3 linked regions of the Tamandua tetradactyla genome follow. The protein of the gene in region 3 purifies or fractionates together with the protein of the main gene of each other region. This does not show direct contact. Links are inferred from orthologs where the notes say so. Each region holds a gene or a part of one and is shown on either strand. Other genes may lie near its edges.

What was found. The genes of interacting proteins can lie anywhere in the genome.
Region 1: the proteins of PRKCZ (region 3) and NIPSNAP2 purify together in Homo sapiens (affinity purification with mass spectrometry; 3 studies listed by BioGRID and IntAct, counting the BioPlex papers as one, with this or other methods). This does not show direct contact. The link is inferred for Tamandua tetradactyla from reciprocal best matches to the Homo sapiens genes PRKCZ and NIPSNAP2.
Region 2: the proteins of PRKCZ (region 3) and LLGL1 purify together in Homo sapiens (affinity purification with mass spectrometry; 6 studies listed by BioGRID and IntAct, counting the BioPlex papers as one, with this or other methods). This does not show direct contact. The link is inferred for Tamandua tetradactyla from reciprocal best matches to the Homo sapiens genes PRKCZ and LLGL1.

The regions. Positions count from the first base shown.
Region 1 is NC_135349.1:18,621,799-18,629,431, reverse strand, and holds the start of NIPSNAP2 (protein NipSnap homolog 2), read left to right. Parts: upstream 1-4,626; 5' UTR 4,627-4,678; coding exon 4,679-4,770; intron 4,771-5,086; exon of another isoform or gene 5,087-5,283; coding exon of another isoform or gene 5,284-5,297; intron 5,298-7,633. Other genes in the region: MRPS17 (small ribosomal subunit protein uS17m), read left to right, coding at 641-763, 2,135-2,404. UniProt on the Homo sapiens protein: Protein involved in mitophagy by facilitating recruitment of the autophagy machinery required for clearance of damaged mitochondria.
Region 2 is NC_135332.1:1,862,668-1,870,178, reverse strand, and holds the start of LLGL1 (lethal(2) giant larvae protein homolog 1), read right to left. Parts: upstream 3,008-7,511; 5' UTR 2,961-3,007; coding exon 2,880-2,960; intron 1-2,879. UniProt on the Homo sapiens protein: Cortical cytoskeleton protein found in a complex involved in maintaining cell polarity and epithelial integrity. Involved in the regulation of mitotic spindle orientation, proliferation, differentiation and tissue organization of neuroepithelial cells.
Region 3 is NC_135328.1:222,906,023-222,913,735, forward strand, and holds the start of PRKCZ (protein kinase C zeta type), read right to left. Parts: upstream 3,014-7,713; 5' UTR 2,946-3,013; coding exon 2,899-2,945; intron 1-2,898. UniProt on the Homo sapiens protein: Calcium- and diacylglycerol-independent serine/threonine-protein kinase that functions in phosphatidylinositol 3-kinase (PI3K) pathway and mitogen-activated protein (MAP) kinase cascade, and is involved in NF-kappa-B activation, mitogenic signaling, cell proliferation, cell polarity, inflammatory response and maintenance of long-term potentiation (LTP).

The sequences.
Region 1 (7,633 bases), on a different chromosome or scaffold from region 3:
TTCCCCGGCCGCGCGACAGGATAGACTCCGTTCCTAAGGTGAGCGCTTTTTGGAGGTCGCTGCTCCGAGAGGGGATTTCGGGAGCTCGTGAGTCCCGGGAGAGGCTGAGGCGTCGAGTTCCGCGTGACCTCGAGGTTGTCCGAGGAAGGGGAGATGGAGGGATCGCTCCCAGCCGTCCCCAGGCCGGGCGGGGTGGGCTCAGCGTTGACTGATCCTCAAAGCCGCATATCTAGCGGGGATGGGGGCGTTCGAGGGAGACAGGCTGTGAGCCTTCTGGCAGCGTCAACCCGGCGAGATGTGAAAAGGTGAAACACCAGTAAAGGCCAACGTTTATTCGCATTAACGACCGCTTTACCGGTTAAATCCCCAAAGCATTCCTTCGTTTAGGCTCCCTTATCCCCATTTTCCAGAGGAGAGAACTGAGGCTGAGAGATTAAACTTACTGATTTGCCAAGAGTAGAAAAATGGGAGGTTGGATGATTAAGGAAATAGTGGAATGTGTAGGAAAGTAGTGATTTCAAAAGACGAACAAAAGCTGTTTCTGAATTTGGGCAGTTCTAATGACAAAAGTCATTTGGCGAGTCATAAGCACCCTATTCTTAGTTTTGGAACTTGTTTTTCAGGTGACCAAAACCTCATAATGTCAATAGCTCGCTCTTCTGTCCATGCCAAATGGATCGTGGGGAAGGTGATTGGGACAGCAATGCAAAAAACTGCTAAAGTGAGAGTGACCAGGCTTGTTCTGGATAACTATTTATTAAAGGTGAGGAGCATCCCTGCTTTCAGCACCCACATGTTCCTAGAACCTGGGTAGAAAAACACTTCTCTACCACTAAAGATGTGTCAGCTGTTGCCAAACACTGAGTAGCCTATGTGTATGCCAGGTGAATTGGTCGTGGGCCTTACTTACATTCTGGGGAGACCTAGAGTTAATTTCAAATCAGTCCAATGCCTGCTGTGGTCATTCTATATGCAAATACTGTGAGATAGGGAATAGGAAATGTCATTCTTTCCTCCCAGGTTGCTGGAGAAGAGCATCCTTGATTAAGAGACATTTGAGCTGAATCTCAAATAGGATTTTATCCAGAGAACCAAGTCAGGGAAGTCGTTCTGGCCATGATTAGTATGTGGACTTTCATTTGGCCATGAAAGGGCCTGATCCAGCAGGGTGGACCCAGAGAGTGGACTGTTGGTAGGCAGACTGGTTGAATGAATGGCAAGGATAGTCGAAGCTGGACCATGAAGTTTTTTTGTGTGTTGTGTTTACAAGTTCAGATTTCATTCTAAAAGCAAAGGAAAGATAGGCTTGGAGACAATTAGAGATGGAGGATGGGGGTAAGGAAATCAGTAAAGAGGTTATTGCGAAAGTCTAGGATGGAAATGATGAGGATCTGAACAAAATTTGAGTCAACAGGGCTGGTGTGACAAGAGTAGATTTTAGGAAGAAGGGATAAGAGTCATTGGTTTCTTAGATGTACAAGGAAGAGGGACACACCAAAGATGGTTCAGCATTCCAGCTTGGGTGAACAAAAATGCTGTTCTTAACTTAGACTCTAAAACCCAGGAGCAAGCAGAAGAGTGACAGCTTGATTTTAGCCTTAGAAGCAGAAGACCTGAGTTTACTTAATGTGCACAAATACCTGCTATGGCAGGATGGTTGTGAGTCTGGCGATTCTAATTATCATTTATGGCTTATTTAAACACTTTGAGACAAGCATAGGATTAAGTTCTTTACATACAACGTTTAATCCTCATGATAACTTTATAGATGCAGCTATTAGAGCTCTTTTTATTGGGGTGGGGGGGGACAGATTGGGGTGATTAAGTGATTATGTCCCAATCATACAGCTTGTGATAAGAATAGCATCTTTATAGGCTGGAGAGAAGGCTCCCAATGGGAAGGGAAAGTTTAAATAATTTCGAGAGAGATGATAACTGATAGAGCAAGGGTCCTAGCAAGTTCAGTGATAGGATCAGCTCTGGAATAGTCATTGGTGTTTTCCAAAGAATAAGCAGCTAAGTATCTTCTTTTCCCAAGTCCCAGTTTGCTCTCTGTGCATTACCTTTTATTCCATATTGCATTGCCAGATCACAGATGTGTGCTACTAATTTGTTCATCTCCTTCTCTCAACAGTATTTTAATAAGCGGAAAACCTACTTTGCTCACGATGCCCTCCAGCAGTGCACTGTTGGGGATATCGTGCTTCTCAAAGCATTACCTGTTCCACGAACAAAGCACGTAAAGCATGAACTAGCTGAGATCATTTTCAAAGTGGGAAAAGTCATAGATCCAGTGACAGGAAAACCCTGTGCAGGAACCACGTACCTGGAGAGTCCAGTCACTCTGGAAACCACCCACCTAAGCAAAAATCTCAAAGAACTTAGTGTCTCTTCAACACAATAAAAGAGAATTGGAGAAAAGCTGCCAAAGGGAAAGACAAGTTTGTTTTATGGAAAAAGAAACTTTGCTAACTCTCATCTTAAACTGTGTCCAGTTGTTCTTCTGATATTTATGAAGTCAATAAAAGTAAATTTGGTAAAGGGCTTGTTATAAATTTTCATAAAGATTATGGTCAGAGTTCCAATTTCTTTTTTCAGTGAACATTAAGTTCCTGTTAAACTGTGTGCCTAGCAGTTTGCTGCATCATTTTGCAAGCTCATTGCTTTAGAGGGTGTATTATTTTTTTCATTCTAAGGAATCTCGAATTTATCTCAGTACTTTTATTTTGGGAGAAGAAAAACTATTGCTATTATAAAAAGATTAGATCACACTAAGTGTTTTGTTTTTGTCTTTTTTTTATGGTCTATATTCAGAATTCTTTTTTTTTTTTTCTGAGTTCACCAATTCCAAAGAGAAATAACCAACATGCTCGTGGTCAGACTTTGTCAGATTAAGCTGTATTAATAAAGATGTTAGCAAGTAGAAAATAAAATGTAAGAATTCTGTGTCAGTTTTTTTATGTCCTAGATCCTAGATCCTAGGCTAGATTAAATAGGCATGAGTTCTTAAAATCTGACACATTAATGAAGTTGTAGGATTTCTCCCATGCATCTGAGTTGGAAAGTATCTGCATTTTTGCTATTCTTTAATGAACTGTGATGACTTAGATTTTGACCTGAGGAAAAATTTAACTATATATTTCAGTTTTCAGGTTCCTACAAAGAGACTTAGAGCATAAATTTCAACTTCAGCAAATAGGCCTATTGTCCTCACAGTGTTTCAACAGTAACCACGGGCACCCTCAGGGCTTACAGTCTAAAGCAGGAGGTGGGCACGGGTGCCTTCACAACAAACATGGGTAGGGGAATGGTGGGGAAAATGTGTAAGTAAGCCACAGGCTCTTGGACACCTCTAGCTTGAGGCCCCATCTCCTGCTCTGGAGAATTGGGGGCAGCTTGGGTCAGCCTTCCTTTGGGGCCTATCCAGCCTTTGTAGCCCCTCTAACCAAGACCCGGTGAAGGCAAGAAGTCCCTCAGCACCAGCCTCTGGCTTCCAGGAGACAGATGCTTCCCCAGCCACTCCTCCAACCACAACTTTTTCCTGCCTGGTGGCTCCTTGTCCTTTTAATGTGTTCAAATTCTGCCTAGTCCAAAAGCCTCCACCCTCCCTTCATCCCCAAGATTCCCAGCTTCAGGGCAGCCCTCAATCCACAAATCCAGTTCCCCTCCCCACTGCCCAGATACAGAAACCTAGTGGCCAACTCAGGAGGGAACTCACCTCTTGTTCTCTCCCCAGCCCACTGCTTCCTTGAAATGCATTTTCCCTGTCACGCCCCCTCTGAGGATCTAACGTTTTCTGCCCAACTTATCTTTGCCGCAGTTTTTCATGGCTACATCGGTGACTCTTATTTTCCCACGGGATACGGTTTCCTTAAACAGTGTCTCCCGGGCACACGCTTCTTCACGTTGTGCCCTCTGACAGGGATGTCTTCCCTTCTTCCGCAGGGGAGCAGCCCTGGGAATTTTCCCGTGGTCTATCCGCCACCCAGCCACCCTCGGTCACTTGCGCTTTCTTGCTTCCTTCGCGTCTTGTGAACCTTTCCATCTCAGCACTTGACACACTCGTCAGGTCACATCCTGTCCCCATTAGAGTGGCCGCGTGAGGACAGGGACGGGGGTCTTTCGGTGGCCAGAGCCCATGGGTGCTGAAGTGAACAGGAACAATGTAGTCACAAGACTGCGAGAGTATTTTAGTAAGTTCCCATCTAAAATGCCTTTTACTAAAGTGTTGATTATGTTTTGGAAAGGTAATTTTCACATGGCACCAAATTCGAAAGATATTCGGGGAGAAACCACCCACCCACACATGTCGCTCGGCCTCCCGCTTCCGCCAGGCAACGGTGTACTCTGCTTGTGAATCCTTCCATTCATATTCAAGCCATGCTCGTGTTCCCTTTGCACACCCCCTTCTGGGCACCGAGAGCTTTCGCAAGATCTTGTTCGGCAGGCGGTGCTTTTCAGGCTTCCGACTACTTTCGACCCACCGCCCAGCGTCCCGCCTCGGGCTCGGCCGCGCGCCCTGCGCCCCCTGGCGGCCGCGCCCCGCATTGCCGCGGTCGCGCGCCCCGCCCCGCCCCAGCCTTGTCGGCCGCCCGGCCGGGGGAGGGGTCGCAGTGGCGGCGGCTTCGGCGGCGTCACGGCGGCGCCCGGGCGGTGGGAGCCGAGGCGCCGGAGCAAGATGGCGGCGCGAGTGCTACGGGCCGCCGGAGTGGCCTTGGCCGGCGGCCTCCTGCAGCGGGCCGCTCCCCGCAGCCTTCTGCCCGAGCTCCGGTGAGCAGCGCCGCCTTTTCCGGGAGCGACCAGGGAGGGGCCGTCCGTGGGGCGCAGGGCGCGGGGGTCCCTGGCGGGGGCCTCCATTTCGGCTCGGCCGCGTGCCTCACCCGACAGGGCGGTCCAGGCTGCGCGGCGGCGGCGGCGGCGGCGGCGAGGCTGCGGCTGGCGGGATCGGCGGGCCGGAGCCTCGGCAGGATCTGAGTGCCTTCCCTGCCGTCCGGGCTCAAGGTCACGACGGGGACGGACCGCGCGCAGCCCCGCCTCCGCCCGGGACGGCCCCTGCTGCCCGGCGCGGAGGCCACGTCCGCCCGCCCGCCCGCCATGGCCGGGCCTGCGGGATCTTGACCCGGAGCGCCCGGCCACGGCTGAGGCCGCAGGCCCTGGACTCGCCCTGCGGGTTCCGCCTGCAGCCTGAGAAAGCTGCTCGCTGCCCAGAGCCTCGCTGCGTGCTCCTGCAAAGCGGCCGCAGGGATGACACCTCTTAGGTTGTGGCGAGCATGAAATAAAATAATGCATCGCCCCCGGTGAGCCCTCAGTGGGGGCGGGGGGGGCGTATCTTAGGGCGTGATAGCGTTATGAACAGTCTTTTTGCCTCGGATTTTAAAGGAGATAGTGAGTGGATCAAAAAGTATTATACACTTGTCAGCACCAGGCATTGAGGTCATGTTTAAAGTTTTTTTCCCAAACCTCGTTGGAGTAATTGTTCGTTTTTCTGAATCTACCGTCTATATCCATATCCACCTCCCATTTTCCAAATTCAAAAACTAAATCCTAGAGTAAGTTACCATAGATTTGCTTTGTTTTCTCGTTTTCTTTACCTGGGTGATTTAAATGTTACTTTTTAAATTACCATCCTCTACAAAGTATAGTTGGCACTTGGGGAAAAACGAAAGAACTACCTGTGAAACTCTTAATATAGGCCAGGAAGCTTTAGATAAAATGGCAAATTTAATCCTAATCATATTCTTAAAACATAAATTGTAGAATCTACATTTTACAAATGGGGAGAGGGAACCTCAGAGAGGGGGAGAAATAGCCAGAAAATTCATTTGAATCCAAATTTCTCAGGCCTCAGACCCAGCACCCTTCCTAACATAAGGTTCGCCTTGAATTTCTAAATTCTTTAAATTTGATATTTATGGTTTCAAACTGATTAACAACAGCTTCCTTTTTTTTTTCCTGTTATTGAGCATTCATGGTGTGCCTTATCACACAGATAATACAAACCCAGGAACTTGGTATTGTCCACTTTTCAAAAGACAGCCTAGAATGTGTTCACCTAAGGTGTTCAAGGTCACAGAGCTAGTAAACTGGAGATTTGGACCTGGGTCTGATACCCCCACTTCCTGCAGAGGCCACATGCTGTTGACACTGGAGTCCTTGTGTATTTCTGACCTGTTGGTTCTCTAATTATTCTAAGAACACTCTGAGATCTCCTGGGCATTTTGCCACTCTATTCTGGCCTCTAGTCTGCCTTGACAGGCAGTATTCTCTGAGCCTCAGCCTAGACCCAGTTAATTCACTCATCCCCTCACATAGTGAGCTCACACAATGTACTTGGAGCCATATGGAACTACAACAGTGAGCAAAATGGCCACAGTCACTGTCCCAAGGGATCCATGGTAGGTGGTAAAAATCCACATAGACTTAGAAATTGAGGTACATGCTAAGAGAGAATTGGGGAATCTGCCACGTGAGATCATGGAAGGATGTTAAGCTGAGACCTGAGTCAGACAGATCTGAGTAGGAAGGAAACCCAAGAAGAGTGTAGAGGACTAGAGTTCAAGAACAAATGGAAGGCGACAGGCCAGAGGAGAGGTGGCAGGGAGCAGTGGCCAGAGGACTCCAGGTCTTGCCTGGAAGCTTGGACTTTTTCCAAGAGCTATGGAAGACATGTAAAGGTATAAAATTTAGTGTCGCTTGGTCTGATCTGTGTTTTTAAAAGATCAGCCTCTCACAGTAAGAAACCAGAAAATATTTGTTAAATGAATGAGAGAGTGACTGAATCAATGAAGAGCTGGAGTTTTCCTAGAAAAAATACAAATTATAAAAATGGACTTAAGTAGAAGAAAACAAAAAATTTAAGACCAATCCTATTTGTATATTATATGTATATATAAATGTATATGTATATTTTCTAACTTTTAAAAAAATCATAAATATTAACTAAGTTTGAATTCAGCTTTATTTTAAAAGTCATACACTGTGATCAATAATTTAATAGTACCAAAATCGCTAGTAGAATATTTAGCCAAATGTCCACTGAATTGTTATACTAGATATCAAAAGGTATTAAGTGCTTAGTCATAAAAATTTTGAACATTAAATTTTCAGATAATATGGACTCTTCAGTCAAGACATGGGTTTTTCATTTTTAAACATTTCCAGGGAACTGATAATGTTAAAATTAGACCAGGAATTATAATAACCACATAGTCTCCAAAAGCAATTCCAAATGGTATGTTTGATTTCACATATGCAGCCTTCAAAGTAACTTTCGTGAGTCAGGTATATTGTTTATCCTGTTTAATTGAGATCACTATGGCTGCCACATTCATTCACTTTGTATGTGCAAATCTGTTACATCTTCACATCAGTCATGAATTCTTCTTACTACTGTTAAAACTTGGTACACAGTCTTGCAGTCTATGGATGGTGAATTCGTTCATTTAGAGAAACAAACAACAAAAACCAATTATTCAGGCTGCCATAAATATCCCTAAAGAACATGTATGACCCATCTGGATATGACCGGCTTTATTTCTTCATTCATGTTCTAATAGACCCCTACAACTTCCTTAGAGTACTAAGCAAGTGCAAAAAATCAGTTTTTCATATCACAGCTAAAGTGACATCCCAT
Region 2 (7,511 bases), on a different chromosome or scaffold from region 3:
CCTCCCTCCCGACCCTCCAGGCACCCACACCCCGGGCATGGCTGCCTAGATGCGGGGTGACCAGCAGACTCAGGGAGGAGCAGGCCCCACGAGGCAGCGGCAGGCCTGGGGGAGGCTCATGGCTCCCCTTCTAGAAGCACCATCCTGATGCCCAGGGCCAAAGGTCAAGGGTCAAAACCCAGGGTCAGTGAGGCAGGGAACTCCACCCCATCTGCTGAGACAGGGAGACTGAGGCCCAGAGAGGGGGGCTTTCTGCCTGGCCCCGGCAGCTATCACCCCACCTCCCAGGCTTCAGTTCAGCACCCAAAGGTTGGCCAGCTGCCCCCCACCCCATCAGCAGTGAGGACAGCATGAAGGGGCCTGCAACGGGGCTGTGGACAGGGCAACTCCCCTGACGCCACCTGCAACCAGACCCCTGCCCCCTGCCTGGAACGCCTGCACAGGGCAGGCCACGGGTGACCCTTCACCCACTGCCCAGAGAAGGCACGGACTGAACCCCAGGTTCCCTCACAGGCACTCCAGGTCCGGTGAGCCCGGGCTACTCACAGCACCCTCCAGGGGACAGGGCCGCTCCAAGGACAGAGCTGCCGGCTGGGCAACAGGGCTATGGCCCCACTGTCCAGTACAGAGAAAACAGAGGACAAATGTCATATGGCCCTACAACCCCCACAGCCTTGACATGGGCCCCCCACACTTCCAACTTTACAGAGGAGGGAGGTGAAGCCGGGTGAGGTCATTTGTCCAGCATCTGTTTCCCTCACATCCCATGACCGACTGTCCCCAAGCCTGCCAGCTCGGCTTCAAGACGGACACCGAAGTGGCCCCTTCTTCCACCCTGGTACCATAGTGCCCTCAGCAGCCCCATCCCTGCTCAGGACCCTCCTGGGGTGTCCACCTCACTCAGAGTCAAAGCCAGTGTGTCCCCTCTCAATGCTCACTTGACCCCAATTTTCAATGGCCATTCGCTCTCCTCCAGCTCAGCCAGCAGGCCCCTGCCCCAGGGCCTTCGCTGCTGATGCCCTCTGCCTGGAACACTTCTCTGCTTCCCCCGGAGGGCTCATGCCCACCACCCGGGAAGTAGCTCCTCAGAGGCTGGACAGGCCACATGGCCACTCTCCATCCCTGACCCCACCCCATTTTCACGCCCAGCCTGGCTACCACCCCAACGCCTGCACATTCTACTTTCTAGTTTTGGCTTTCACTCTGTCCCTCACTAGGACGTCGGTCCTGGAGGGCAGAGTGAGCTGTGTTCTTTGGGGCACTGTGCCCCCAGCACCCAGGAGACGTCACACGCAACACGGGCACAGCATCTGTTAAGCTGGCAGAGTGGACACCCCACAGGCCACTTGTGGGCAGGGCTGGGACTTGAAATCCAAGACCATCCAAGTCCAATCCCATGCTTGGCCCTGACTCGCACCTCAGAGTCCCCAGCGGTCACCTCCTTTGGTGACCCAGCATCTTCCCGGGGCCACCCCCTCCCATTGACCAACTCGGCGTGGGGCCTCATCCCCCCACAGGACGCTGGCCTTCTGACCACCCATGAGAGCAGGGGGAGCCGGGCGTCCCCCCATGGGTGTGAGGCCCCCATTCCACACTGCACTTCGCAGGCTGAAGGAGAGGCGTGTTAGCCCAGGGCCTGCCCCCCACCCTCCTGGGAAGGGTCAGTCTCCTCTCCCTGTCCTCACAGCCACCCCAGCGCAGGACAGTAAGGGTCCGGGACCCCTGAGCACCAGCCTCCCCTCCCGGGCCCTCTCTGCCCCTGGCAAGTTGGCAAGTCCTAAAGGGTGGTCCCGCTGCCCTGGCCACCCCAGAGCCTGGGACCACTGCAGCTGCCCCCCACCCCCGAAAACGCCTGCCCCTCAAGGCCACCATCAGACCCACACACAAAGGGACTGAGGACAAGTGCCAGCTCGGACAAGTCTTCTCCCCTCTATGAACCTCAACTTTCTCACCTCCATGGTGGAGCTGCGAGAAGCTGTGTGGTCAGAGGTCAGAACTGACAGGGCCAGGAGGGGTCCCCAAGGGGTGAGCTGGGGGCTGCGAGCTCCCACATATCAGTGCAGGGAAAGTTTATGGGCCCAAGGCAGCCCTGTTTCCCATGGTACTCCCTCCCCACCCCCCTGCCCCCAGCCAGCGCAAGGAAGGAGCAGCCATCCATCACCTCCTCCTTGGCCAAGGATGCCCAAGTGGCACCTCAGCCAGCCGGGTGACCCAGGGAGCCAGAGCCCCCAGCTGAGAGAGAAGCAACTCATTGCACAGAAGGGAAACTGAGGCCCCGCAGGGCAGAGCCTGGGCAGCGGGTGGGGGAAGGGAGCAGAAGAACGTGGACGGGATTTCCCAGCCCCACCTCCCCGCCTTGCACTCCCCGCGCCTCCTGGCCGGCCTGGGGGCCAAGCCAAACCAACCCCGGGCTGCCCCAAGGCGGAGCCTGGGGAGGGCCCGGAGGAGCAGCGGTCAAGAGGCAGAGAAGAGTCCCCGACCCCACGGAGCGGGTCTCTGGACACAGAGCGGCAGGAAGGGGCGGGGGACGAGGAGAGACGCACAGAGGGAGAGACCCGGGGGCCGAGGCGACAGCCCCCTACTCCCGCCCGGGACTCAGGCCGGAAAGGGCCGGGGCGCGGAGGGCGCAGGGCCCGGAGAGGTGCGGAGCCCCGCAGGGACCGAGAGCCAGGGACGTGCAGAGGCAGGGCCGGGCAGGCCCGGGACCCGGGGATAGACCCGGGCGGACGCCGCGTCCCGGGGCCGGGGGGGAGGGGCACGGGGGCGGGCCCCTGCGCCCCTCCCCCTCGCCCCCGCCCGGCGCCCCCTCCGCGGGCCCGACGTGGCTCGTCCCCAGCCCCGGCCCCCCGCCCCGGCCCGCCCCCTCCCCGCCGCCGCACCTTGTTGAAGGCGAAGAGCTCCTGCTTGAGCTTCTCGCGCTGCGGGTCGGCGACCTGCCGCCGGAACCGAAACTTCATCATCTTGCGCCCGGCCCGGCCGCGCCGCCCCGCCGCAGCCCGCAGGATGCGCCGCGCGGCCCCGCGGGTCCTGAGGCGCGGGCGGGGCGCCAAGGGCCGGGGCGCGGGCGGGAGGCGGGGCCGCGCGGGGGTGGGCGCCGGCCGCGACGGACGCGCCGCGCGGCCAATGAGCTTGCGTGCCGCGCCGCCCGCCCCGCCCCTCCGCCAGACAAAGGGGGTGGCCGGGGCCCCCGGGCTCGGCCGGGCTCGCGGAGGGGCGCCGCCGGTCATGTGCCGCAGCGCGCGGCCCGCCGGGACTCGTAGTCCGCCAGCCAGGCCCCGATCGTGGGCGGCTGGGGACTCGGCCGGCGGGTGCGGGCGCCTGGTCGCGGCTTGACCGAGGCTCTCTCCCCCTGCGAGGGAACGTCGTGCACCTCCACTTAGGGGGCAGCCCTTTCCCGAACGCTAGAGAGTCCCGACTGGGCCAACGCTCTGGCCCCTCCGAGCCTCAGTGTCCCCGTCTGCGCCACAGACCCTTGGCCCCATGTTGCCAGGTTCATGTTCTACCAGGCTCACGGGACACCACTCTGCCTGTTCTGCAGAGTGCCGGACCCCTCCCACCACCGTGCATGTGCTCCGGCTGCACGGCCAGTCAGGAATGTCCTCCTCCACTCCCAGCCCCTGGGGAACTCCTACACATCCTTCAGGACCCAACGCGAAACACTCAGTGTAGCAGCACAGGGGATTCTTAGGAGTGGCACGAGCCGAACAGTGAGACAGAAACCCAGCCGAGGGAGGAGGCCCTTTGGCAGAAGATGGTATGTGGGTCTGTCCTCAGCTCGGATTTGGGCTTTGGGCGATGGGGGAAGGGCCTTCCCACTGGAGGGAACAGTGATAAACAAAGCTGAAGGACTCTCGGCCTGTCCCCACCCACCTCCCAGGCCTCCTTTCCTCATCAGGAAAATGGCCTAGAGGTTGGACCTTTCCTTCCAGGCTGAAGATAGGCTGCGCTGGACCCAGGGCTGGGTTAGGTTGGAACTCCCAGAAGCCTAGATGGGGCAGGTAGGCCGGGTCCCAACCCCACCAGCTGTGTCAGGGAAGGTGGAGCTGACCTCTGACCCCAAGTGACAGGAGTTGTCTGTCCCCCTCCAGCCACACCCAGCCCTGCCCCGCCTGCCCTGCTGGATCCTGGATCAGGAAGAAGGTCAGGTTAGAAGAGGAGGGAAGCTGATAAGAACAGCAAGGCTTCTTCTATGTGTCCATTCAAAGATGTTTTGACTGCTTTAAGGCTCCTAACAGTTCTCTGAGGGAGTCCCCAATATTAGCCCAGTTTACAGATGAGGAAACTGAGTGACAATGCCTGCGCGCCCCACCCCATCCCTGTCACCTCTTCTGCAAAATGAGGCAATAAGTTGCACCAGACGGACCTCACGTGGGGTCCTACCATCACCACTGAGAAGCTGTGCCGCATGGAGCAAGTTACTTGTACTCTCTGTGCCTCGGTTTCCTCATCTGTAAACATGGCCATAATACTAGTACCTACTTCAAAGGGTGTGGTGAAGGAGAAATGAAATTTGTCCTTGTGACACCCTCAGAGCTTGCCTGGCGCCCAGGAAGGGCCGAGCGAGGTTAGTTATCATGGCTCTAGTTCACTGCTCTAGGAGCTCTTGTCCTCTGTAAGGGGTCTGCCTTTACTCAGCCTCCACGTCTCTGTCTTTGAAATGGGACTTTTTCATCAGGCATTAAGCAGCCAAACCTGTGTCTTCATCCCCTGGCACCGGGAGACAGAGCTGAGTAGCTCCCCAACTACTTAGAGTGCTGGGCTGTGGTAGGGGGTGCACAGGGTTGGGGTGGTGGCAGGGGGGCAATTCCAGATGGGCTATAATGAGTGAGGGGTTTATTAGGCAGAGAGATGGGGAGACAGGGAAGAGTTTCATGGCAAGGAACGGCTCTTGTAGTCAGAGGGTGTTTTGCCAATGCAGATACCAGGTACCCCCAGATGCAGATGTCTGCAGAATCAGGATTTTATACCAGCCTCTTCCCATCTGATCAGTTAAGGGGGGTCCAGTGGATATGCTGAAATATAAATGGGTAAACTGAGGCCTGAGCTGGGCCACAGCCAGGTAGGGTTTGGTGGGGAGGCGTTGACAGGTCCCGGGCTTCCTTCCCCTCCCCTGTGAGCAGGGGCAGCCCAGGCCTGTGATTTACCAAGGCGGTGCCAGGGGATGGGCCCAGGCAGCCAGGGGGGCACCAAGTGCCCACCCAAGCCTGTTCGTTGCTCAGAGCGGGAAACTGATGTGCAGTAAAGACCAGGCAAGGGCTTGACCACAGGGTCCTTTGAGATTTGGGGGCCCCCTCATCCGTCCTAGTCAGCAGTCTTCAAGCTCCAGCCTCCAAGGCCTGTGTCATCCCTGGGCCAGGGAGGGGCATTTCCTGGGCAGGGTGGCCCTGCCCCCTCCTAGGCTGGCTCCAGCACGGTACCTAGAACGGCAGCTGGCACCTGGTAAGTACACAACACGTATTTCTTAAAAACATATATAAAAAAAAATTTTAAAAAAGCTTAAGACAAAAACTCAAAAATGGACAGCACAATACTACCTAATTGTAATGTAATTATGTTAAAACACTGAATGAAGCTGCATCTGAGCTATAGTCTTTTTTTGTTTTTTTTGTTTTTTTAATTTTTAATTTTTATCTTTTTCTATTATCATTTTATTTCTTTTTCTGTTGTCTTGCTATTTCTTTTTCTAAATCGATGCAAATGTACTAAGAAATGATGATCATACATCTATGTGATGATATTAAGAATTACTGATTGTATATGTAGAATGGAATGATTTCTAAATGTTGTGTTAATTTTTTTTTAATTAATAAAAAAAAGCTCAAGGAAATATGGCAAAATGTTAACATTTGTGAGCGATGATGTCTATAAAGTGTTTTTCAGTGTGTTTGAAATAGTTCATTAAAAAATAGTCAAATACAAGTAATGATAGCCACACTGTCTGGGAGTCGAGCCCACGGGAAGCGGTGGTTGGTGCAGTGACGGGCAGGGGGTGAACAGGGGGCACCTTGAGTCAGGCTGGGGAGCAGGTTCGGGGACAGCGAAGAGGCCAGTTTGGTGAGTGCTGAGAGCAAGATGTGGGGGCCCTGGAGAGCACGGGCTGGAGCTGCAGGAAAACAGGTGTTGCGTTAATGAGTGGGGAGATGACTGTGGTGACAGCTGGCACACACCAACTGAGGCAGGCACCCCGATAAATGCAGTATTTGAGCTTCGCCTCTGTGATGCTTCACAAGAGGTGGGTGAGCAGATTGTCCCATCTCATGGATGGTAAATGGAAGCCAAGGGCAGAGCCCAGGGTGGCCTGCGGAGGGGAGGAAAGAAAGGGTGGTTCCAGCCAGTGACCAGAGGGAAAGCCCCAAAGAGAGGGAGACCGGAAGAGTCCAGCTGAGGGAGGCGGCTGTGGGGCTGGAGGCTGGCGCTGCCTTCCTGGCGCTGATGACCCAGATCCCAGCCAAGGCCGTGGCCCCCTCTGCTGTCCAAACCACACACACAGCTTCTTCCTGGAGGCTCCCCCAGGGACTCGGTGGGCCGAGGATTCTTGGAATGGAGTCTAGCCTGGGGCAGGGCTTGGGCAGGGTCCAGGGTCGAGGAAGGTGAGGGAGAAAGGGAGGCCCAGTGTGGAGGCCTGAGACAGAGACCACCTGGTAACAGGGTCTCCAGCCAGGGCTCCAGCAGGGTAGCCCAAGCCGGGGGAAGGAGGGAGCACCTCGTCCTGTGGGGTATACAAAATGAATCTGGCTAAGAGAGTGTTCTGGGCCCAGAGAGGGGAGGGTGGATCTGGGCCCCCCCTACCCCATTCCACAGAGGATGAACAGTGTTCTGGCCCCCATTTTACAAGGGAGGAACCTGAGGCCCAGAGAGAAGCAACCTGGGGCTGGATGGTCTCCTCCGGACGCACAGCCCCGAGCCTGGCTCCCGAGGGTCGCTGTTCTGGGCTCATGCTGGGACCTGGGACGCCGTACCCTCTGCCGGGCGTGTTGGGTTTGGGACTCCAGGGGCCAGGGAGGTGGGGCTCTGTGCCTCTTCCTTTCTACAGCCCCAAGTTCTAATCCTGCTGCTTCCTCCTCCCCTCTCTGGACCTCGATTCCTCATCTGTAACCTGGGGCTAATATTAATTGCTACCGTTAATTAACACTGAGCACTCGGCCTGTGCCAGGCACCACAGTCATTCATTTAATCCCATGGTATTTTACAAAGAAGCCAAGGCCAGAGAGACTAAGTAGTTTGCCCCAAGTCCACAGCTTGTAAGCCAAAGAAAGCATGATTTGAGCGCAGGACCCAGGCAAGGTATTGGAGGTTGTGGCGACGATTAAATGAGAGCCCGTGAAGGACCTGGTTCAGAGTGTGCATTCAGCCAAGGGCAGGGCAGCCGTCTCCCAGGCTGGACTGGACACCCTGGGCCCTGCTCGCTGACTGTGACCACAGCCTCGGTGCCAGGCTGTGCTGAGGGAAGCTAGGGAGCAGGGGTGGGGGGGTTCCAGAGACAGCCCTGACAAGGCTGGGGGTGGGGGGCC
Region 3 (7,713 bases):
CATCCACCCTTGGCAAAACTCACCCTTAAACCTCTACCCCTGCAAAGCTCACCCCTAGGTCACTCCCCCATGGTGCCTGGGCTATGCCACCCAGCTCTGAAGGGGACATGAGGTGCCACCCCCAACAGCACGGCTCCCACTCCAGGGACAGCAGCGAGACAGAAACTTCACTCTCCCAACCCACCTGCCTCGCCAACGGCCCTCAGGGCACGTGTGCACAGCCGGAGAATCCGAAGCACTGAGGGGGGTGGGCTCCCCAATATGGGGCGGCAAGGGGCCCCATATCCTCAGAGCAGGTGACCCCCCCAAAACAGCCCCCTGGGATGGCAAGAAGGGGGTGCACTTAGTGGGCTACGCAGGAGATGGGTGCACGACACCATCCAACATGTGGGCGAGGCTGGCCGCCCCCACAGGCCCGTGCAGACACGGCCCCACCAGCGGACCACCAGCCCCTCCTCACACACCTCCCCCCTGCAACCTGCTCCTCCCACCACCACCCCAAGGTCCAGGTCAAAGGGCACTTCCCTGCTCTTACCTGCAGCCTCTTCTCTGAGTGACCACCTGGACACCTCCGGAGGGCCAGCAATGGTCACCTCGGGCTCAGCCCACTCTGGGAAACGGCTCTGCCAGCACCTCTGATGGCGTGACCATGACTTCCAGCCCAGACAAGTCGGGGTACCTCCAGCTCCACGGCCCCACAGCCTAACACTTCCACCGTGCAGGCCAATGGTCCCACAGCCTAACATTTCCACCCTGCAGGCCAATGGCCCCACCCCCCGAGGCATTCTGCCACTCTTACCCCTGCGGTCAGCAGCCAGGAGGCTCCCCACTCAGGCCCCACACGGCACAGCAAACACCACCCCACGGGGCCCTTGTGCCTGCTGCCCCTTCCCTGTCTGCTCTACCAGTCACTGGCCCCTGGGCGGCGACGCTGGGGCAGCTGCAGCTCTATTGAGGCCTGCTGAGCAGACAGGAGCTCTGTCGAGGCGCGGGCGCCTGTAGGCCCCCCACTGCCACAGGTCACAGCACCCACCCTGGCTGCGGCGAGGTCTTCACGCAGAGGGGCCCTTGGGGAAAGTTCCAGAACAGAACTTTTCTGCACAGGGTGAGAGCCAGCCAGCGGCCATTCCTGGGATGCGGGGACGCTGAGGAGCTGGCCCCAAGGTGCTGGACAAAGCAGGCCCTCCCCCTGGGCAGGTGGTGGACACCCTGCACCCCTTCCCACCCCCGTCAGCCTCTGTGGGAGCGGGCACAAAGCCCATGAAACACAGGAGGGGCCCTCGCCCGTGGGGTGCTAGAGAAACCCCGTCTTTGCTTTTGTCTGAAAGGTCCAGTGACCATGCCTCCGGGCAGCGAGTGTCCTCTCAGGGGTGGCCTCTGAGCGCTGGGATTTCACCAGCCCCACCCCCACCCCGATTTCACCAAGCCCTAGTCTTGGGGGGCCCTTCAGGAATGGCCATGGTGGACTGGGTCTCCTGGGGGCCCAGTCCCGAGCTTCCAGGCACTCCCAGGGAGGGGCTGGGCTTAGAGAAGGTCCCTCCGTGGGCCAGAGGGGCTGGAGTGGCAGAAGGGAGGGAGTCAGAGGGGAAGGGAAGGGTGGGGTGGAGGCAGGAGGGGAGGGGAAGAGGAGTGGGGGCTGGGCAATGGCGGGAAGAGGGAGGAAGAGGAAAGGTGGAGGGAAGGAAGGGGGGAGCGGCCTTATCAGGAGTGAAACTGGAGGCAGCAGGTTGTATTACATCTGTGCTGCCAGTAACCAAAACGCTCCCTCGGGGACCAGGAGGTGGGGACTCCCCATCCCCCCAGCACCCTCGGATCTTCCCCTGAGCCCCCCCTTCTGACCTCCAACTTCCACCTGACCCCCACTGCTTGGCGCTGGAGGTACCTGCTAGATTCCTCTTGGGGGTCAGCTGGAGGGTCCCCACACCCCAGGCAGGGGGTTTCAAATGCCACTTGTGCAATTTGGAGGTGGCCCCTCCCAGCTGGGGCGCCAGCAAGTAGCGGCACTGTGGGGGCGCAGAAAGCCAAGATGTTCTGCACCCCTGAACCCCAGCCCACACCCCACACACCCCTCCTCCCTCGGGGTCCACCACTGACTCCCCCAACCACGGGTCTGCAGGGGACCTAGGAGCAGGCACCCAAGGCTGCAGATGCTGTGCTCATGGGGTGGAGCCCGAACCCGCCTCCGGGAGGGAAGGGGTGGGGGGCGCTGCCCTGGAGGAGCCGCGGCCTCGCGAGGCGGCCGCCCCCCACACCGTGCCCCCACAGGTGCTGAACCAACGGGGAGCGCCAGGTCCCAGCCGGGGTTCCAGCCGTCCTCGGCGCTGTCTGCACCCGCGGGCGGCGAGAGCGGGAGTCCCGCGCTCTACCCGGGAGCCCCGTCATCTGGTCACGAGCCCCCTCCACCCACCCCGGGCTCGCGGCCCTGAGACCAGCGACGGTAAGAGTCCAGGCTCCCGACCACTGCACCCCGGGAGGTGCCCACTCGCCCCATTCACAGACAGGGAGATGGAAGCCCGGGCGCGCTTCTCCCTCAAGACTCCGGGACCGGCCCAGCTCCCCGGGGCCCTCCCCCCCGGCCCCCGCCGCAGCGGCCTGGCGCGGCTTCTCCCTCTCAGCGGAGCGCCCTAGCCGGGCGAGAGGGCGAAAGTTGAGAAACTCGCTTCTTCTCCAGCTGCCAAAGTTTGCCCAGCTCCATGGAGCTGCGTCCCCCGGTCCCGCGACCTCCCTCCCGGCCGCGCTGCCAGGACCTGCGTCAGCGGCGACCCCGGTCCGCCCGCCCCGCCCCCGGCCCCGGCCCCGGCCCCGGCCCGGCCCGGCCGCCCGCAGGCTCGCGCGGCCCCTCCCGGCGAGGGCGCGTCGGGCTCCCGGGGACGCGGAGGGCCGGCCGGGCGCGCTCACCCGCTGTAGTGCGCCTTCAGGCGGACGCGCCCGCCGCTCCCGTCCATCTTGGGGCCCGGCCTGCTGGGCGTGGCGCGCTCGGCCAGGCCGTCCTTCAGGGCCGCGTCCCGGACGCGCGGGCCCACGGCGCGGACACCTGCCGGACACCTGCCGGACACCTGGCGGGACACCTGACGGGGCCGGGGCGGAACGCGGCGGGGAGCGCGCGGGTGACCCGCGCCGGCCCGGCCAACTCCGCGCGAACTTGGGCAGCGGGGCGGGGCCCGGAGAGCGTGCGGCCAATAGGCGGGGCGCGGCGCAGCCGGGCGGGAGGGGGCAGCACCTGCGGCCAATGAGGGCGCCGGCGGGGCAGCCACCTGGGCCAATCCCCGACGGGACCCCGCGGGCGCGGCCCAATCGCCGTGGCGCGGGGCGGACTACCTGTCGGGCCGCCGCCGCCTCACCTGCGGCCAATGGGAGTGCTAGGCGCCCGGCTCTGTGGAGCAACGCGGGGGCGCGGGCGGGGTCTCGGGCGGGGTCTCGGGGTTCCCCGCGCTCGCCTTGTGCGGGAAGCGGGCTGGCGGCAGCGGCCCTCAAGGTGGAATGCGAATTCCCGGGCTCCCCCGTCCGCTAGCCAGTCCCGAAGGCCCAGGGAACCGACCCCGACGGCGCTGGACCCCGGCGTCGAGCCGCTCATCGTCCACGGGCGGGAATCGGGCGCGCAGCGAAGCCCCCGGGCCCGGCGACGACCTGAGGCAGAGGGGACTGGATGGCTCGGCCAGGTTCGGGCTGGGCGGGTCTCCCGGGCGCGGCCCCCCCACACGTCGACCTCCAGAATCCCGGAGCCCGTTGCAGGGAAGGCTTATCTGCGCCCGCCGGGCAAGGTTGACCCCGAAACGCGGACCCCCCAAAGCCTTGGGGTCACCCTTAACTCCGCCACCCGTTACACCCCGTCCTCGGCGTCAGCCCCGCCGGCCCAGCTTGAAGAGATCCCGGGATCCAGCCCCTGCCGCCACCCGCTGACCCGCGCTTGCACCGACCTGCAGCAGCCCCCAAGTGTGCTGCCCTCAGCGTGGGTCAGGGGGCCTCCAGGATGCCCGCGTCTCCAGAGGTGACACCCCTGGCCCTGCAGGCGCCCGGGCTCTTGTCTCTCCTCCGCAGCTTCCCCACCTTCTTGCTGCCCCCACCCCTGCCCCCTTGCCTCTGCTGTTCCCTCTGCCAGGAGCGTCTCCCCGTCGGCTCCAGGAGGCTGCTGCCCACACTTCTGGGGGGTCTGTACCCCACCTTCCTGCCAGAGCATGGTGGCTGTCCTCTCAGGGCACCCACAGTTAGTGGGGTGGAGGGGAGCAGAGAGTTACTGAGTGAGGGGCAGTGTGCCAAGGGCACAGGGATGAACAGCGAGCAGCTGCGTGTGCTGGCCAGGGGTGCTGCCACTGCCAGGCAGGCCACCCAGCTTGCCCCTGACTGGGATGGGGAGGAGCAGCGCCACACTCGCTGGGGTGGGAGGTGGGCCGTGGGTTCCCGGTCACTGGCTTCAGCCGGCACCTCCCCACCTGCCAGGGGGGACCTCTGGCCTTGAAGCTGGTCCCCAGGCACCACCAGCCCCCATCACAGCAGGGGAGGGCTGGAGCAGGCCCCTCACCCCCCCTGCTAGCTGGTTTAGGGGGCCCCCCCGGGCTGAGTTTAAAGGGGAGTCCACACCTGAGCACCACAGCAGAAGGTTGAGGGACCCCGAAGCCTCTCTTCCGTGCGGGGGTCAGGGCAGGGCAGGGAGACGAGACTCCTTTCTGGGCGGGAGGCTCCCCTTCCCTTCCCCCATCCTGATATCTTCTGGCTTGAGGCCCCCTGTGGCCCCTATGCCTCCCCTGGCCATGTCCGGCCCAGAGCCTGGGTGGGGTGGGACGCTGCGCCCCACAGCTCTGGCAGGGGGGCTGGGTGGGTCGCGGGGGGTAGGGTGCACCTGGATGAGCTCCCTGCGGGCTGGAGGTGCCTCCCCACCCTTCCCTCTGGCCCCCTCCTCCTGCTGCAACCAACAGGGTTTGGTAATGAAGCCCCCACGGCCCCCCCCAGAGGGACCCAGGGTGAAGCCCAGGATGGATGGGCCACAAGCTGGCTGCTGGGGGGCAGGCCGCTGTGATTGCCTCCCCTCCTCGGTGCCCACACCCCAAAACCGAGCCTCCTGCCCTGTTGGAGGGGGGTGCCCGTCCCCTCCCTCCCCCTCGCCTCCCACCCCGCCCCAGAGCCTGTCAGATGGCATCGCGGGCCCATGCCCAGGCTGTGAGGTAATGGCCGGCCTCCCGGCCCTGGCCCAGGGTGACCCTTGGACCCGGGGAGGCGGGACAGGGGTGCGAGGGTGGGGCGCCAGGGGCGGAGGCTCTCTGCTCTCACGCTCTCAAGCCCTGTGCTCCTGTGTTTTCCAGTCTGTCCTTAAAGACCTCGTGCTTTCCGAGCCACAAACGCCCATTATTTCAAAACAGAAAAAAGGCATCCTTCTTTTTTAAGGGTTGTAAAAGTGGCACAAGCTGATCGTGCAGCTTCACCACCTGGGAGGCTTAGACAGGAAGCCCCCTGCCGCCCTCCCCTCCTGGCATGCCGGACCACCGGGGGTCCTTTCCTGTCCCGCCCAGCCCGGCCCGGCCCTTCCTGGAGGTGCAGGGCTGGAGCGGAGGGGTGGGGGAAGGTGTGCCCTCCCCCCACGGGCCTTGGCGTGCCCTCACAGGGCTCACCTTCAGCTCTTCTCTGGGGGGGCCCTCCAGGGACCCCGCGATCCTTCAGGCGAGAGGGTCGCTGGGCCTCCCTGGGGGCTTCCAGTGTCCCTCCCTGTACGGGGTCCGCCCCCCGCCCCCTGGCCCGGCGCTTCGGGGTGCGGCTCTGCCAGAGGGCCCAGCGAGGACCCCGTGGGCCGCAGGCCCGAGCCAAGGCACAGGAAGAGCCCAGAACCGCCGCTGAGCAGTCTCTGGCCCGGGCGCGGGTGGGAGCAGATGTTTCCTCTCTGTCATGATCACGGGCTGGCGCGGGCAGCCCAAGTGACCGCTCACACTCGTCCCTTCGTCATCTCCGTGGGGGGGCTGGTGGAAGAGTCACCCATTTTGGGGCCGGCTGAGAGCCAGCACGTCCCAGGGAGACATAGAGCCACGGCTGGGCCACGTGTGGGGAGCCCCGGAGGGCACTGCGGCGGGGCAGAGAGGCTGTGCAGGCCTGTGTCCCTCCTGGGGGTGGCCAAGGGACAGAGGAAGGCCCCACCCTCCTCGTGGCAGGGGTCCTGCTTGGTGGGAGGCGGGAGAGGAAGGTCGGGGCCTCGGGGCTCCGGGTGTGTGTGTGTGTGTGTGTGTGCACATTTGTGTGTGTCTGTGTGTATCCATATGTGTGGGTGTTTCTGTGTGTGTGTTGGTGTGTGTGCGCATCTGTGTTTCTGTGTGTGCATTTGTGTGTCCCTGTGTACACATCAGTGTGTCTGTGTGTTTCTGTGTGTGTGTAGATGTGTACCTACTGCACATCAGTGTGTACTGTGTGCTTGTCTGTGTGTACCTGTGTGTGCATCAGTGTGTGTATGTCTGTGTGTGTGTCTGTGTGTATGTATGTGTGTATATGTGTGTATCTATATTTGTGTGTGTCAGTGCATACCTGTGTGCATGTCTGTGTGTTTGTGTGTCTGTGCACGTCTGTGTGTGTCTGCACGTCGGTGTGTGTCTGTGTGCATGTCTGTGTGTGTGTGTGTCGGTGTGTACCTGTGTGTGCGCACGCATCTGTGTGTGTCTGTGTGTACACTGGTGTATACCTATGTGTGCATCTGTGTGTGTATGTGTGTCAGTGTGTACCTGTGTGTGCATCCGTGTGTGTCTGTGTGTGTTGGAGTGTACCTGTTTGTGCATCTGTGTGTGTCTGTGTGCATGTGGTGTGTATCGTGTGCATGTGTGCCAGTTTCTAGGTTGTCTCCTCTGGGCTCCAGGCCTGTGAAGGTCACAGGCTTCCTTCCAGCCGGGCTCCCGCTGGCCCCGGGGACTGCGAGTGCTGCCGCCCTAAGGGATGCCGCCAGCCTGCCCGCCAGGGCCAGAAGTGCCCAGGAGAAGATGCTTGAAGGACACTGCGGGACGAAGGACTCCCTTTGCCTTTCAGGGAGCAGCGGTGAGCTGGGGTGTGGGGGAGTAGACTTGGGGTGCAGGCACAGGGCGTCTGGGGGCATTGTACCTCAGCCATGCGCCCAGGACGTGGCCCCCCCTGGTGCCCCCTGGTGATGCCCTTGGTGCAGCCTTCCATGCCTCTGGGCAGCCCACACCCAGCCGCGGTGCCTGGGTCCTGGGGTGCTCCTGCTTGCCCGGGGCCCCAGCACCAGCTCCGCCCAGTCCCCAGCAAGCTCCCCACGGTCCTGTGGGCTGGCCACTCCCTATCCATCCCTTCATGGCCCCCCTCCAGCCTGATGCACCCTGAGGTCTTCCAGCTGGGCTCGGCTGGAGCTGGCAGCTTGGCGGATCCCAGTGGAAACACCCCATTTCATCAGCCACAGTGTCTGGGGGTGTCCTGGCTGTGTGTCTGTCTCTTCTGCTGTGTCTGTGCTCGTGGGTCCGAGTGAGCACCTGTTTGTGTGATGTGTCTGTATATCTGTGTCTTGGTTGGGCCTGTATCTGTCTCTGTATATCTGTCAGCTTATTATGTGTGTATCTGTGTGCATGTCTGTGTGTCTGTTGTGTATGTTCTATGTGCTTCTCTGTTGTGTGCACACATGTGTGTTCTCTGTGTCTGTCATGTGTGTTCCATGTGCATGTTCTGTGTGTGTGCATGTTCTATGTGTGTGTCTGTAGCATTTATGTATTCTGTGTGTGTCTATGTGTGTGTTGT